Arabidopsis thaliana: one gene and its partner. The protein of the gene in region 2 interacts with the protein of the main gene of each other region in a pairwise test. Each region holds a gene or a part of one and is shown on either strand. Other genes may lie near its edges.

Evidence for each region.
Region 1: the proteins of DRP3A (region 2) and LSD1 interact in binary tests that used the Arabidopsis thaliana proteins (3 or more experiments, as listed by UniProt).

The regions. Positions count from the first base shown.
Region 1 is NC_003075.7:11,002,741-11,007,335, reverse strand, and holds LSD1 (LSD1 zinc finger family protein), read right to left. Parts: upstream 2,820-4,595; 5' UTR 2,622-2,819; intron 2,502-2,621; 5' UTR 2,440-2,501; exon of another isoform or gene 2,325-2,439; coding exon of another isoform or gene 2,310-2,324; coding exon 2,186-2,309; intron 2,097-2,185; coding exon 1,992-2,096; intron 1,907-1,991; coding exon 1,875-1,906; intron 1,780-1,874; coding exon 1,734-1,779; intron 1,503-1,733; coding exon 1,363-1,502; coding exon of another isoform or gene 1,342-1,362; exon of another isoform or gene 1,263-1,341; coding exon 1,191-1,262; intron 1,099-1,190; coding exon 1,027-1,098; intron 940-1,026; coding exon 898-939; 3' UTR 548-897; downstream 1-547. Other genes in the region: AT4G20390 (Uncharacterized protein family (UPF0497)), read right to left, coding at 57-268; TSF (PEBP (phosphatidylethanolamine-binding protein) family protein), read left to right, coding at 4,371-4,571.
Region 2 is NC_003075.7:16,159,210-16,166,825, reverse strand, and holds the start of DRP3A (dynamin-related protein 3A), read right to left. Parts: upstream 6,003-7,616; 5' UTR 5,754-6,002; coding exon 5,340-5,753; intron 5,255-5,339; coding exon 4,972-5,254; intron 4,880-4,971; coding exon 4,851-4,879; intron 4,756-4,850; coding exon 4,654-4,755; intron 4,355-4,653; coding exon 4,286-4,354; intron 4,199-4,285; coding exon 4,139-4,198; intron 3,850-4,138; coding exon 3,736-3,849; intron 3,349-3,735; coding exon 3,300-3,348; intron 3,202-3,299; coding exon 3,092-3,201; intron 2,792-3,091; coding exon 2,699-2,791; intron 2,560-2,698; coding exon 2,467-2,559; intron 2,399-2,466; coding exon 2,261-2,398; intron 2,069-2,260; coding exon 1,955-2,068; intron 1,867-1,954; coding exon 1,768-1,866; intron 1,626-1,767; coding exon 1,586-1,625; intron 1,408-1,585; coding exon 1,259-1,407; intron 1,171-1,258; coding exon 1,024-1,170; intron 800-1,023; coding exon 747-799; intron 663-746; coding exon 563-662; intron 413-562; and 2 more. Other genes in the region: AT4G33640 (costars family protein), read left to right, coding at 6,417-6,695, 6,893-7,099. UniProt on the Arabidopsis thaliana protein: Involved in the control of mitochondrial and peroxisomal division and morphology. In association with PEX11C, PEX11D, PEX11E and FIS1B, is involved in cell cycle-associated constitutive self-replication of preexisting peroxisomes.

The DNA.
Region 1 (4,595 bases), 5.2 Mb from region 2:
ACATTTTGCTTTCAATATGTATCGAATCGATTTCGTATAGGGTTTTACTCGCTTACACAAAAGCCGGTGTGTGCTGAAACTTAGCGGTTAAAGTGGCTTTAATAGGAACAGTACCAATGGTGGCCACAACCAAGGTCTTTGTCTCTTTGTTTAGTGACATTACAATGGCTGCAGCTAAAGTAGCCATGAATGCAAATATTCTCAGCCCCAAGAGTAGTTTCCAGCTCTTTGTGGTACCACCAGCCACCACAATCTTCTCTCTGGCCATTGTTGATGCAGTGAGTGATCAAGAGAAAGTGATGAAACTTTGTGTCAGTGTTAAAGAGTATTTATATGGAAAGAGTTTGGTCTTGTTGAGAGGTTTTGTCGGATCATCTAACTTTAATGTTCTTGGAGGGTACTGACTGATTAGGTTATGGTTGTTGTGACAAGATTACTGCAAAATAGATTTCCAGATTTCAAGACTTGCTCTAAGACAAGTCTTATCTACCAAAGCTAAGACCAGTTCTTGTGACATGTAGCATATCTCATCCACGGAAGAGACAGATTTCAAACCCAAATCTTAATGATTGGTTGGTGTATCAGATTATATTCATACATACATTAACAATGCCACAAGGGCCGATGGAGTTTTAGAAGTCAACAAACAGAAGAGAAGGTCAAGTTCCATGGAGCAAAAGAATGCCAAATTATTCGAGCAAAAACCTTGTGTCTTCAACTTTGAATAAACCCCAATAATGCAGTAACAAGAGATTCTGATAAGCTTTTTCTCTTGGGTTAAAAAGGAGTCAAGAGATATATAACATACAGTTTTTCCGCGTATGTAATATGCACAAACCAAACGCAGGAATAGAGGAAGAATTTGGATTTGATCTTTAAGATCTCACTCATTCTTGATTACTTTTTGTCAGTTGTCACTCCAACAACAACATTGCTCACCTGCAATTTGTGTGTTTCAGTCACTTTGTCATATCTTCCTCTAATGTGGTAAATAAGAAGAAGAACACAGGTGATAGAAATACTCACCAACTTTCCGCTTTCATCAACGGACATGGGGTTTTCTACAACAACGGTTTGGGTCTGAGAGGGTGGTGTTGACTGTTGGTAAAATGAAAAATCGATGAACAGAGTAAGTACCAGTTCCATAAGAATATACAGAACTATTACAAATTCATAATTTGATAACTCACAGTTGATGTAGAGGGGGGACAAGCTGTTCCATTTGGCCGGTTAGTTGGGAGAGGTACCCTTCCATTGCTCATCTAAGGATGCAAAATGAATCAGAAATGAAAATTTCCAACAGAAAGATCTCTATACTTAACTCAACCATGCAGAGGTGGCTTAATAGATAGGAATAATCACATTAACGTTAGTTACGAATTGACAAACAGCGCATTTGACGGATGATGCACCGTAAGGATACATGAGGGTCGTCCGACAATGCCCACAATTGATCTGCGCAACCTGACTGGAAGGAGCATGGGCAACCTGATTGGAGTGCGCTGTCGATTTCAAAAAAGACACGCACAGATTCAGAAAACAAGCAATGTTAATGCTAGAAAAATCCAAGAAATACTAATGAACGAAGTAATCAGCAATGTTCTTAAGCAGTCATGGATAAATGATAATCATACAGCTAAATGACAACAGCTTAGACGCTAATTAAAGATAAGAATCTAATGGTAGATCAAACAAAACAATAATAAACCCTACTAGCTCTAACAAGTAGTTACCTAGTCCACCGGGACCATCTAAAAGCTTTGTTTTAAGTACTTTCAGCTGCTTTACAAATCCCAGATATTTTCAGAATTCAGATTCATATACATCTTTGGGAAAAGTGGAAATACGTTACGTAAGCATCATCTCCACAGAACAATGTTATCAAACAAAAGTGTGAAAGAAGATTCTAAAGGACTAAAAGACCTTATAAAGCAATATAATACATGGTCTTTAAAAGGATTGATATGGATGTCACGATATTATTAATATACCTGGCACAAGGTTCGTAGTTTGACAGCAAGAGCATCTTACGCTACTAGCCCCACGCGTATACATAAGCATTGTTCTACAACCACCACATATAATGTGTGCCATGTCTGTATTCAGAATCAGAACCCAAGTTATAATACAATTGCAGAGCATATTAACCTCATCCTCAATTCAAATTCAACAAAGAAATCGATACCGTGAGGTGGAGGAGGAGGAGGAACCATGTTGATAGTGTTACATAACGCACAACGCACATTAGATGCTCCTCTAGGATACATCAATAAATTCCTACAACCATGACACACCAGCTGGTCCTGCATATCTGCTACTTTCATCCAAACACACACAAATTGCTTCAAAACAAGACCCACACAGATGAAACCCTAAACATTTCACAATACTTAGTCATTGCAAGGAAGCAATTGGAGATTCAAATACCTAAAAACTCACCTGATTAACAAAAAGAGCTGATTTTGGAACGAAACCCAAATCCAATTCAAAGCCAAAAACTTCTGCATCCAAATCAAAACAAGAATTGTGTGTTGAATCAAACAAACAAACAAGGACAATGATGAGATTACAGAATTGGCGAAAATTGAAAAAAAGGAACAAACTTTGGAGCTTGTTCTTACCGATTGGAGAAGGGTAAGGAATCGAATCCAAAACCCGCGAAAGCTAGAGCGATGATATGCAGAAAATCCAATCCAAATTGAGGAGATAGACAATAGATTTCGATTTTTCTCTCTCTCTATCTCCAAAATCTCAATGCCCGGATTTATCTCTCTGTTTTTCGTAATTTACGCTTCTTTTTTTTTTACATGACGCGTAAGGGTTTTTTTCTCGGTCATAAACGCGTATATACAAACGCAGCGATTGGCTTCTGCTAATTAAATATGAATTTTTATGCCAAGCATACGTCCATAGATCAATTAATTATGGGTAAAAATATATTTTCTAATTTTCTGCAAATGGTGTAATAATATTAAATTATTTTTTGTCTACCCCTTTGAACCAATGAAAATTCTATAATATTTGTGTGTTAAATGAAAAATCGTACATGCTGCCAAACAAAAAATTCATAATAAATAAATGAAAATCGCATATAAACTTTAATCAAATGTTCTGAACATAACGTCCCACGTATGTTTTCGTTTGCTTATTCATATCGGAAGAAGAGTAATTTGCGCATTTCATATTACAAATTGGGGAAATGGACAATAAATTGGAGAGCAAAAATCATAGCCATCTAACCTCACACACTTTTCTTTTTGTTAGGTACCAGAAATATCAAGAATCACTGAGCTAATTGTATTCTCATGACTTTTTGTGGTCAGCAAATGAAACTGGTCTGCAATAGTTTTTAGAAGTCTTTATCGGTTTATTTCTCATGTGTTTTGTCAGAAATTTCTTAGAAATTTTTGTCTTCCAAACTTGGGGAACTAAATTTGTTTGGAGTGTAAGAATACACGGTTGAGCTTTTAGGTAATACACTTGTTTTTGAAAGGTATAATGAATTTTAAAAAAATTACTTTATCAACATTTAAGATTTGGAGACAATTTTGAAATCACGTTTGAAAACGAATTTTTTGGCCAATTGTTCACTTTTCTGTCGTTATTATACTTCTGTTACCTTGTGTCTATTTGTTAATTTACTTGTTTTATTTGATTTACTCCATTGTTTTAAAAGTTTTACTGGTTTGTTTTGTTAAATTGATATTTTTGATGGTATTAATTAAGTTTAGTACTACATTAAGAAAAGAAAAAAAAGAGTCTAGTACGTATGTACACACCAACCAGATATGTGAACAATTATGGCGTCAATTTATCTGGAGCATATATACTTTTATATGATGGTTTAGGTTGAAGGAGTTATTCTAAAATGCATTAACATCATACATAATCGGTGTAATGTAGTGTCCTTAACTATTTAAATGAGTGACATGTGACGCAAAATGCGTGACGTACGCAAATATGCAGCATATTATATGCTTGTGACATTATTTTAAATAGTTCATGAAGTTACAATGATAAGTCAGAATAAATTACATACTAGTGGCTAGCAAGAAACAAGTGGATGATGTATAATTTGGAATATGATTATTTCTGTTTTATACTGGTGGGTTTTGGAATAAGAATACTATAAATTTAGAAAAAAGGAAAGAAAAAAAAAACATGAATTATAAGTGATATACGTACGTTGAACGAGTTGTAGATTCTCGAAACTATACACGAAAAGACCCTGGTAATGATTTCATTGGAGAGAATAAAGCTAAATAGCTAATTATTGCAATTCCCAAAACGTTATATAAAGAATAGCAAGTAAGGGTTCATAAGGTAAGAAGCAAAACATTTGATTGAGATACTTGAGATCCAAGATAAATATGTCTTTAAGTCGTAGAGATCCTCTTGTGGTCGGCAGTGTTGTTGGAGATGTTCTTGATCCTTTCACGAGGTTGGTCTCTCTTAAGGTCACTTATGGCCATAGAGAGGTTACTAATGGCTTGGATCTAAGGCCTTCTCAAGTTCTGAACAAACCAATAGTGGAGATTGGAGGAGACGACTTCAGAAATTTCTACACCTTGGTGATCTTCTCTCCTTCATTCCTC
Region 2 (7,616 bases):
TATTGTTGCAGGGGGAGCATTTGAAACAAATTGGAAAAAAAAACTATATCACCTTTCACTCCCTTATCAAGTCAACCAATGCAGAGTCCAAAAGGACCAAAACCCACACTGTGTACTGGTTTCCTATATAAATTCTTCATATGACCAACACATAATTTAATACCAAAACCTGAAAGAGCCATTAAATGAATGAAATGCGTTATCACAGTCGAGAGATATTCGAGATATTTGGATCATGTTAGAATCCGTATCCATTTTGGTGTTGATCTCCTGCTCTTCTCGATCTTCTTGTCGTACTTGGAGATGCCGAGTATGAGCTGCTTGTCGAATACTTTGAAGATGTCAGTAACTCCTGATGTTTTGACATTCCTGCTGACACCGAATCTGCTTCCAGTGGCAACTCATCTAGTGTCTGTTTCACCCACAAAGACCACATGGTTACATGAATATCAAACATAAATTCTTCATAGAAACAGTTTTAAGTGAAAAGAAGACTTTATTGTTCAACGGAACAAGGTTTATGACGATTGATGTACAGAGTTAGGTTTTGCTGAGAACATACCCTGTAAGCTTGCTGAAGAACGTGGAGAGTCTCTTGTGTGCGTTTCCTCTTAACTGCTATCTCATCTGGCTCTTGCAACATTTCTTCAAACAAGTTCTCCCTGCACCAGATGAAACTACTAGTCAGTTTTAAGAGACTACTAATCCAAACACAGATGTGAGGAATTAAAAAACACAGGCATCACCTGTAAAGCTTCTTGATGAAGACGTTATGCAGCTCACGTTTTGTGTGGTTTACCTGAAGCATTAAAAAGAAAAGAAATGGTATCAGCATCTTCATTCTTCAGAGTTTATTTACTGTAAGATAGCAACAAGATTATTACACACAAGATGGACAAACGGCTTTTCATTTTAACTCTCTCAAAAGACAATTTCAAAGGGCAATCAAATATCAAGGTGATGATATATCGTACAAGTTTGAGATACTGCAAGAAACTTGGGGAAAGGGATGAGGGTACTTGCCAGGAAATGCATGATTGCTTTTGGTACCGAGTCCTCAATATTCTTCCTTACAATGTCATAGTATGATCTTAGTAACAGCTTTGTTATCTGAATCTCAACTGCTTCCTGTTCTGAATGGGTTTCGGTTGGCCTCAAGACAGCTGGGGGCTTCAGAAAAGCAAAGCAAACAGTATGAGTCAAATAGGTAAGCATGTATTGGCAATATGAATCATCTAAGATGGCACAGGAGACACACCTCCTTTAGATAGATCATGGATAAGTTGTGAGACATATCCTCAACAGCTTCACTGAATGGTTTGTTTAATAAGCTATCTTTAGTAACTGCTCTAGTATCACCCCCTCGGAAAATTGAAGGGATACCCCACCTTGTATCACTCGCATTTGCTATCATGTGTCAGCAAAACCACAATTAAAATCTACTCAGGATTATAAGCTATTAGCGAATCGAGACAAGATACATGTTTACGCAGTCTCTGAAACATAGCAAGAGATTCATCACACAGCCAAAAATCTTCCAAAACACGAAATGGAAGGCTAAAAATGACAGCGGTGAGAAAATTACCAGCAGGTTGAGCTTTTTCAGCATCTGCAGATACAACTCCCTATGAACAATCATGAGTTAAGTGTCAAATAGTCACTCTTTATCTTGAAAATGTCTAATTTGCTCATGGGTCCTTAGGGCTAAACCCATAGTGCACAATGATATACAGAATTAATTATATATAACATGTAAAATGACAATACCTGATCAGTAACAATTCCATTAGCTTGCCTGCCGAGAAACGATCTAGATTTCACTTGACTCGTGGAAGAAGATGTTCTATCAGGCTCCACAGTGTCCTGCTATATCAACTTAAATGTATAAGAAACACTGCAGAGTATATATGAAACCAAAACCAATTTTAATGTATTTGCTCAGAGTACTTCATACCTTTGGTCGTGCCACAGGATGGGGAATCCTCGAAGACTTCACTTGATGCATTGCAGCTTCCACGGCCTTGGTTCCACCAATAAAATTTGGATGTGAAGTGTTTATGTAATCCATCTGCAAACGACATTCAAGAAATTATGATACCATCACTAATACTTTAGTTCAAAGAAACTAATCAATCAAAAACGAGGAAATCACTGCTCAAGATTAAAAAAGGTCCCTAATCAACCAACATATTAGTCTGGGCTCTTTATACACAATAGAGAAACTCAACTCAACGTAGGATTTTCAATTCATTATACAGACCTCCATATCAATGATATCCCCGATCATTGCTTCTGAGGGTTCAAGACCTTCTCGCAGGAAATCCCCGATAACCTCATCCATGCGCTTTCGTAGGACTGGAAATCGTTGTAACTCATTCATCATACATCTATGGCTAATCTGTAGAGAAATTCAAATTTATGAAGTAATCTTATTACTTATTAACAACAAACCAAAAAAACACTCACCTTTATTAGCTCTTCAAAAATGAACCGGGCACACTGAAGGCTAGGATCTAACAAACGAGATATCTGCCTCCTAACAAGAACTTCAAATGGAACCTATGCATAATTGAACGAGATCAAGGGACTCTAATTAGATATCCTGGGAAGTGGAAAAGGCAAGGAAACATATGAATGCTTGAAAGCCCTGACAACCAGGATAACTTCCATATATGCTGAAACATGTTAAGAAACCTACATCTGGAACAAATAATGCAGATCTTGGACCAGTTGCATTCTGAATTGCAGTCCGAATATCATCATCTGTCAAGTCCTCGCATGGATCAACCTCCTGAAGAGGCAATGTGAAGGAATTCAATCAGTCTAAATTTACAGAGATCCACGAGCTCAACGTCAGAAATATACTACATTATTTCCATTTGGATAATGTCACTAGCTAAACTAAGATAAGATAGAGGAGCCAATGCTTAACAAAGCAGTGTAAAAGTTCTCTATCAATGTCAATGAAATGAACCGTAAACATCAGTGTACCATCCGAAAGTACGCAAAAGTATTGGCGAGGTTAAGAAACGGGAATGTATAACAACTGTTCAAGCTCAAGGAAAAAAGTTTAACGATTGCCCAAACGAACCTCCAAACTCTTAACAAAGATTGACTGGAAAATATAGTGAATTCTTGCTCCTCCAGAGAGCTCTGACGTAGACATTTCTTCACTTTTCCCTTCCAGCAATGAAGAGTATGCTGTTCAAAAAAATTTACCCATGAGACTCACTATGAACCATAGAAAACATAAAACAAATGTCAATGGTCTCAACTGAAATATCGTCTTCACATATTACCTTCACAGTATTTGGAGAGAAAGTTGAGGAGAAGAGCTCCTTGCCCAGCCTAAGAATTTCAAGGACAGTAAAGACCAATAGAATAAGATAAGTTTGACTAGTTAAAAATTGAAAAAGAAAAACAACTCATAGAGATGAAGCAAAAAAAAGTTAAAAAAGAAGTACCCATTGGCCAACAACCTTTCCCTACAAATAAGAACACCTTTAAATGCTAATTCTACGACTTAAAGATATTTTTTTTGTAGTCTAAAAACAAAAAGGCTTTACGAACCCTGAGCACATACATGAGAAAATAGTCTGGACGAGCAAAATTGTATTCAAATGAAAAGACTGAGCAAATCACACCATTAAATGGAACAAATGGCAATGTACCAAAGCCAATAACAAAACAATGAATTCGATAAATAGATGGCAAATTGAGCAGTAAAATACATACCCTTGATTCTGTTAATTCACCATAGCTCTGATGCTCTTTTGCTGTAGCAACCAAAGCATTACTTATCCGCGACTTCAAATCCGGAAGCAAGACCTTGATATGTTGAACAAGGATCTAAAAAAATGCAACAGAAAGGCCATCTTCTATCAGACATTTTCTAATATTAAAGTATCTTAAAGTCTGTAAACAAAAAAAGATATACATGCAAGGCCAAAAAAATAAGCTAGGGTAGAATCCGCACAGCCATGTAAGTAACCTTAAAAAGTGAATAATGCATTTAAACTCCACCATAATCCCATATTAGATATTTCAACATAGAGAAAGCGTCTCCCTTATGCCTTACTGAACAATGATTGACATAACGAAAAAAGGAACTCCCAATTCCCATAACTGCAGAAAATACCTGATTTAACTTCTTTGCTAGCTGAGGAACACCCAAACGATCGGCAAGACCATGGTAAACCTGTATAGGTACCAAAAAGACTCAGCTTTAATCAGAAAAAATAGCAAGAGTATCAGAAAGTGAATCAACAAAATGATGTTAGCATACCGGGTGACTCCGGAAGAACTTCTCCTCTGCGAGAAGTGCTTCCTTGACTGTGCGGTTTAGCAAAATATCCTGTTTATAAAATATAAAGATCAAAACACTGTAGATGCAGACGCCACAAAAAGTAGACAAAAAATAAAAATTCTGTCACAATAGCATCGAAGTGATAAAATTAGAATTAAAAAACAAGCACAGCCAAAGGTAGAATAATAAAAAAAAAAAAAAAAAAGAAGAGACAGCCTACTATATGATAGCAAGAGAATCATAAGAAAAATAAGTACAGAACAGAAGCAATAAAGCTCAAGTCACATAAAAGAAGAGCCACACTAAATAAATTAAAAAGCAATAGTTGTGAGCAACCACAGGTTTACCTCCTGGCAACGATTTACAACTCCCACGTATCCAAGTCGAAGAGGAACAACATTTCCAAGAAGGAGTTTTCGAGCATCAGTACCTTTGTCCATAATATCCAACTGAAAACATGATAATAACATATAGTAAATCACATGAAAGACAGGGACGCCTATGGTGATGAAATAAAACAAATGTCTGGACTGGGAATATGCACCTTTGTGATTACACCTATCGTTCTGTGACCTGGAGACAGTATAGATAGATGAAAGGGTGAAGATGAGTAATGTCAAATACAACCCATTAAACTAGTCATTGGACTTGTGAGTAGAACTTACCATCAGGATCTACAATGCTAGCAATTTGAAGGGCATCAGAGTTTGCTAGATCGGTATTAGCAGGGGTAACAGCCAATATCAAGCAAGTATCTTGCTTGATGTAAGACAAGATCATCGTTCTTATACGTGCTTCAATGTCGGATGGCTGGTCACCAACTGGCACCTTGGTAATACCAGGCAGATCCACAAGCGTGATGTTCAATACATTAGGTGAAGAAATTTTAAGACGAATCTGTGTATCTGCTACACCTTTGTTCTCTCCAACTAATCTATTCGTCTCAGCCTACAAAGATGTTGCATTTCATACATTAATACAAACTTGGAAGAGCAATAGAGTATCAAATAAAGCAAGGAAGGGAATAAAAAACCTCAATTTCTCGACGAATCTCAGAGAAATCATAGAAACGAGTTTCAGGAAGGTGACGAAACTCCCCCCACTCATCATCGGATCCGCCATTAGCGCGGCTTTTAGTCTGGAGGAGCTGGAGAACAAGAGGACGACGCGTGCAGATATCATTACCACGAGGGAGAAAGTCACGGCCGACGAGTGCTTCAAGGACGCTAGACTTGCCACTGCTTTGGCTTCCAACAACAACAACCTGAGGAAGCGCGATCGTAGACTGGCTTCCGAGCTGAGCGAATATGTCTTGTAGCTTGTTTACAATCGGAATCACAGAGGATCCCAACGGCGCGGCGTTGGTGGTGGAGGAAGACGGAGAAGGCGTAGAAGAAGAAGGAGGCGTAGACGGAGGAGTCTCACCGGAAACTTCTTCAATAGTCATCGTTGGATCGGATTTTGAATGAATCAAAGTTGCTAGGGTTTTGAAAAAATTAAGTTCGTGGAGAAGAGAAGACAACACTGGGAAGAAGAGAAGGTCAATTACTCGGGATTTTCGTGCTTAGCTCTATCTCTATCGAAGAGAGGAGGATCTTTTTATTAGAGTCGCTAAATAATTTTTACTTGCTCAAGAATTTTAAAAACGTGAAGAAGAAATTGAACTTTAATCACAACTTAACAAAATAATTCAAATTAATTTTATATTCACTTAACCTTTGTTAATTTATAATGATAACAACTAAATAATTTCACCTTAATCTCCATGGTCCAAAAGAAGCGAATAAACATTTTCATTTACCTAATTACATTAGTTTTTAATTTATAAAAACTTTTTTTCTTTCTAATATTAGCCTGTGCTTTTATTAATCAAATAAGTTTAGAAAAAATCTATAGATACAGTTTTAGTGAGGAACTGAAGTTCTGTTCTGTCTTTAAATATTCGTTGTTAACTTAAACGCAATCTTTTGCTATTTCATCAGTAATTTTTTGTATGGATAAACTAAAAGAAAAAAAAAATAGAGAAAAATCGAATGTTAAAATCGTGGTAAACCGGCTGATGTCGTATCATTTATTAAGGTCTCAAACCGGAGGTGTGTGTTAATTTTCAATGTTGAAGAAAAATCGGTACGATAAGGTTTTCAAACCGGTTAAGTGTGCGCATTTTGGTCTTTTCAACCGGATTAGGAGGGACAAGAATGAGTCCATCGAGCTGTCTTCGTCAGAAACAGAAAGAGTCTCTTCTTCAATCCAATCTTTTTACAACATTAGGCTGTTGAGACCTGAAATCTCTAAGGAAGAAGAAAGAATGAACGTAGACGAAGAGATTCAGAAACTGGAAGAAGAGATCCATCGTCTTGGTTCTCGTCAGACCGATGGCTCTTACAAGGTCTCTCTCTTTCTCCTCAAATCTTGTTGGATCTCCCTATATCTGGAATAAATCTGTATTATTTCATTTTCAATCAACAAATACTCTTATCTGAAGAATCAAGATCGTAACATTTACTCTTTTCTCTCGCTCAGATCTAACAAACACAGTTGATTGATTCTTGATCATGAGGATTGATTTGTTCCTTTTGAATACAGGTGACGTTTGGAGTGTTGTTCAATGACGATCGATGTGCCAACATCTTTGAAGCATTGGTTGGGACTCTGAGAGCTGCCAAGAAACGCAAAATAGTCGCATTTGAAGGTGAACTTTTGCTTCAAGGCGTTCACGATAAGGTTGAGATCACTCTCCGACCAACACCACCGCCACCGCAAGCTGCTGCTGCTACTGCAGCCTCCTCCTAAGTTCCCATTTCTGCTTTTAATCTTTATACTATTGAGTGTAATGAAATGATAAACTTGAAGATCAATGATTCCTTTGCTTCTCTATTGTCATGATCACATTGCTTGAGCTATATTTTTAAGTTGTTGCATGTAGTAACAAAGTCACTATTAACAAGAAAGATTTCTTCTCTTTTTCTGCCATATAAACTGAAAATACACAAAGGAAATACAACAACAGCTCTTACCACGTTTCTACCCAATATAGCAGCAATCTCAGAGAAACATACATTAATTTACATATATATATATATATATATATATATATATCTATAAACTTGTCAAGCTTTACAATCTAAGTTTCCTTTCTGATCAAAGACTCTCTGGCGTGTTAAATCTTCCCCCAATTTAGGTACCTTTATCCAAGCTCCAGAAGAAAAAGCGAGACCGTGGATCTCTATACTGGTCCAGAAAGACCTGAACTTGAAGTAATCTTATCTTAGGCACAACCGATCTCATGAATCTGCATATAATTAAACCA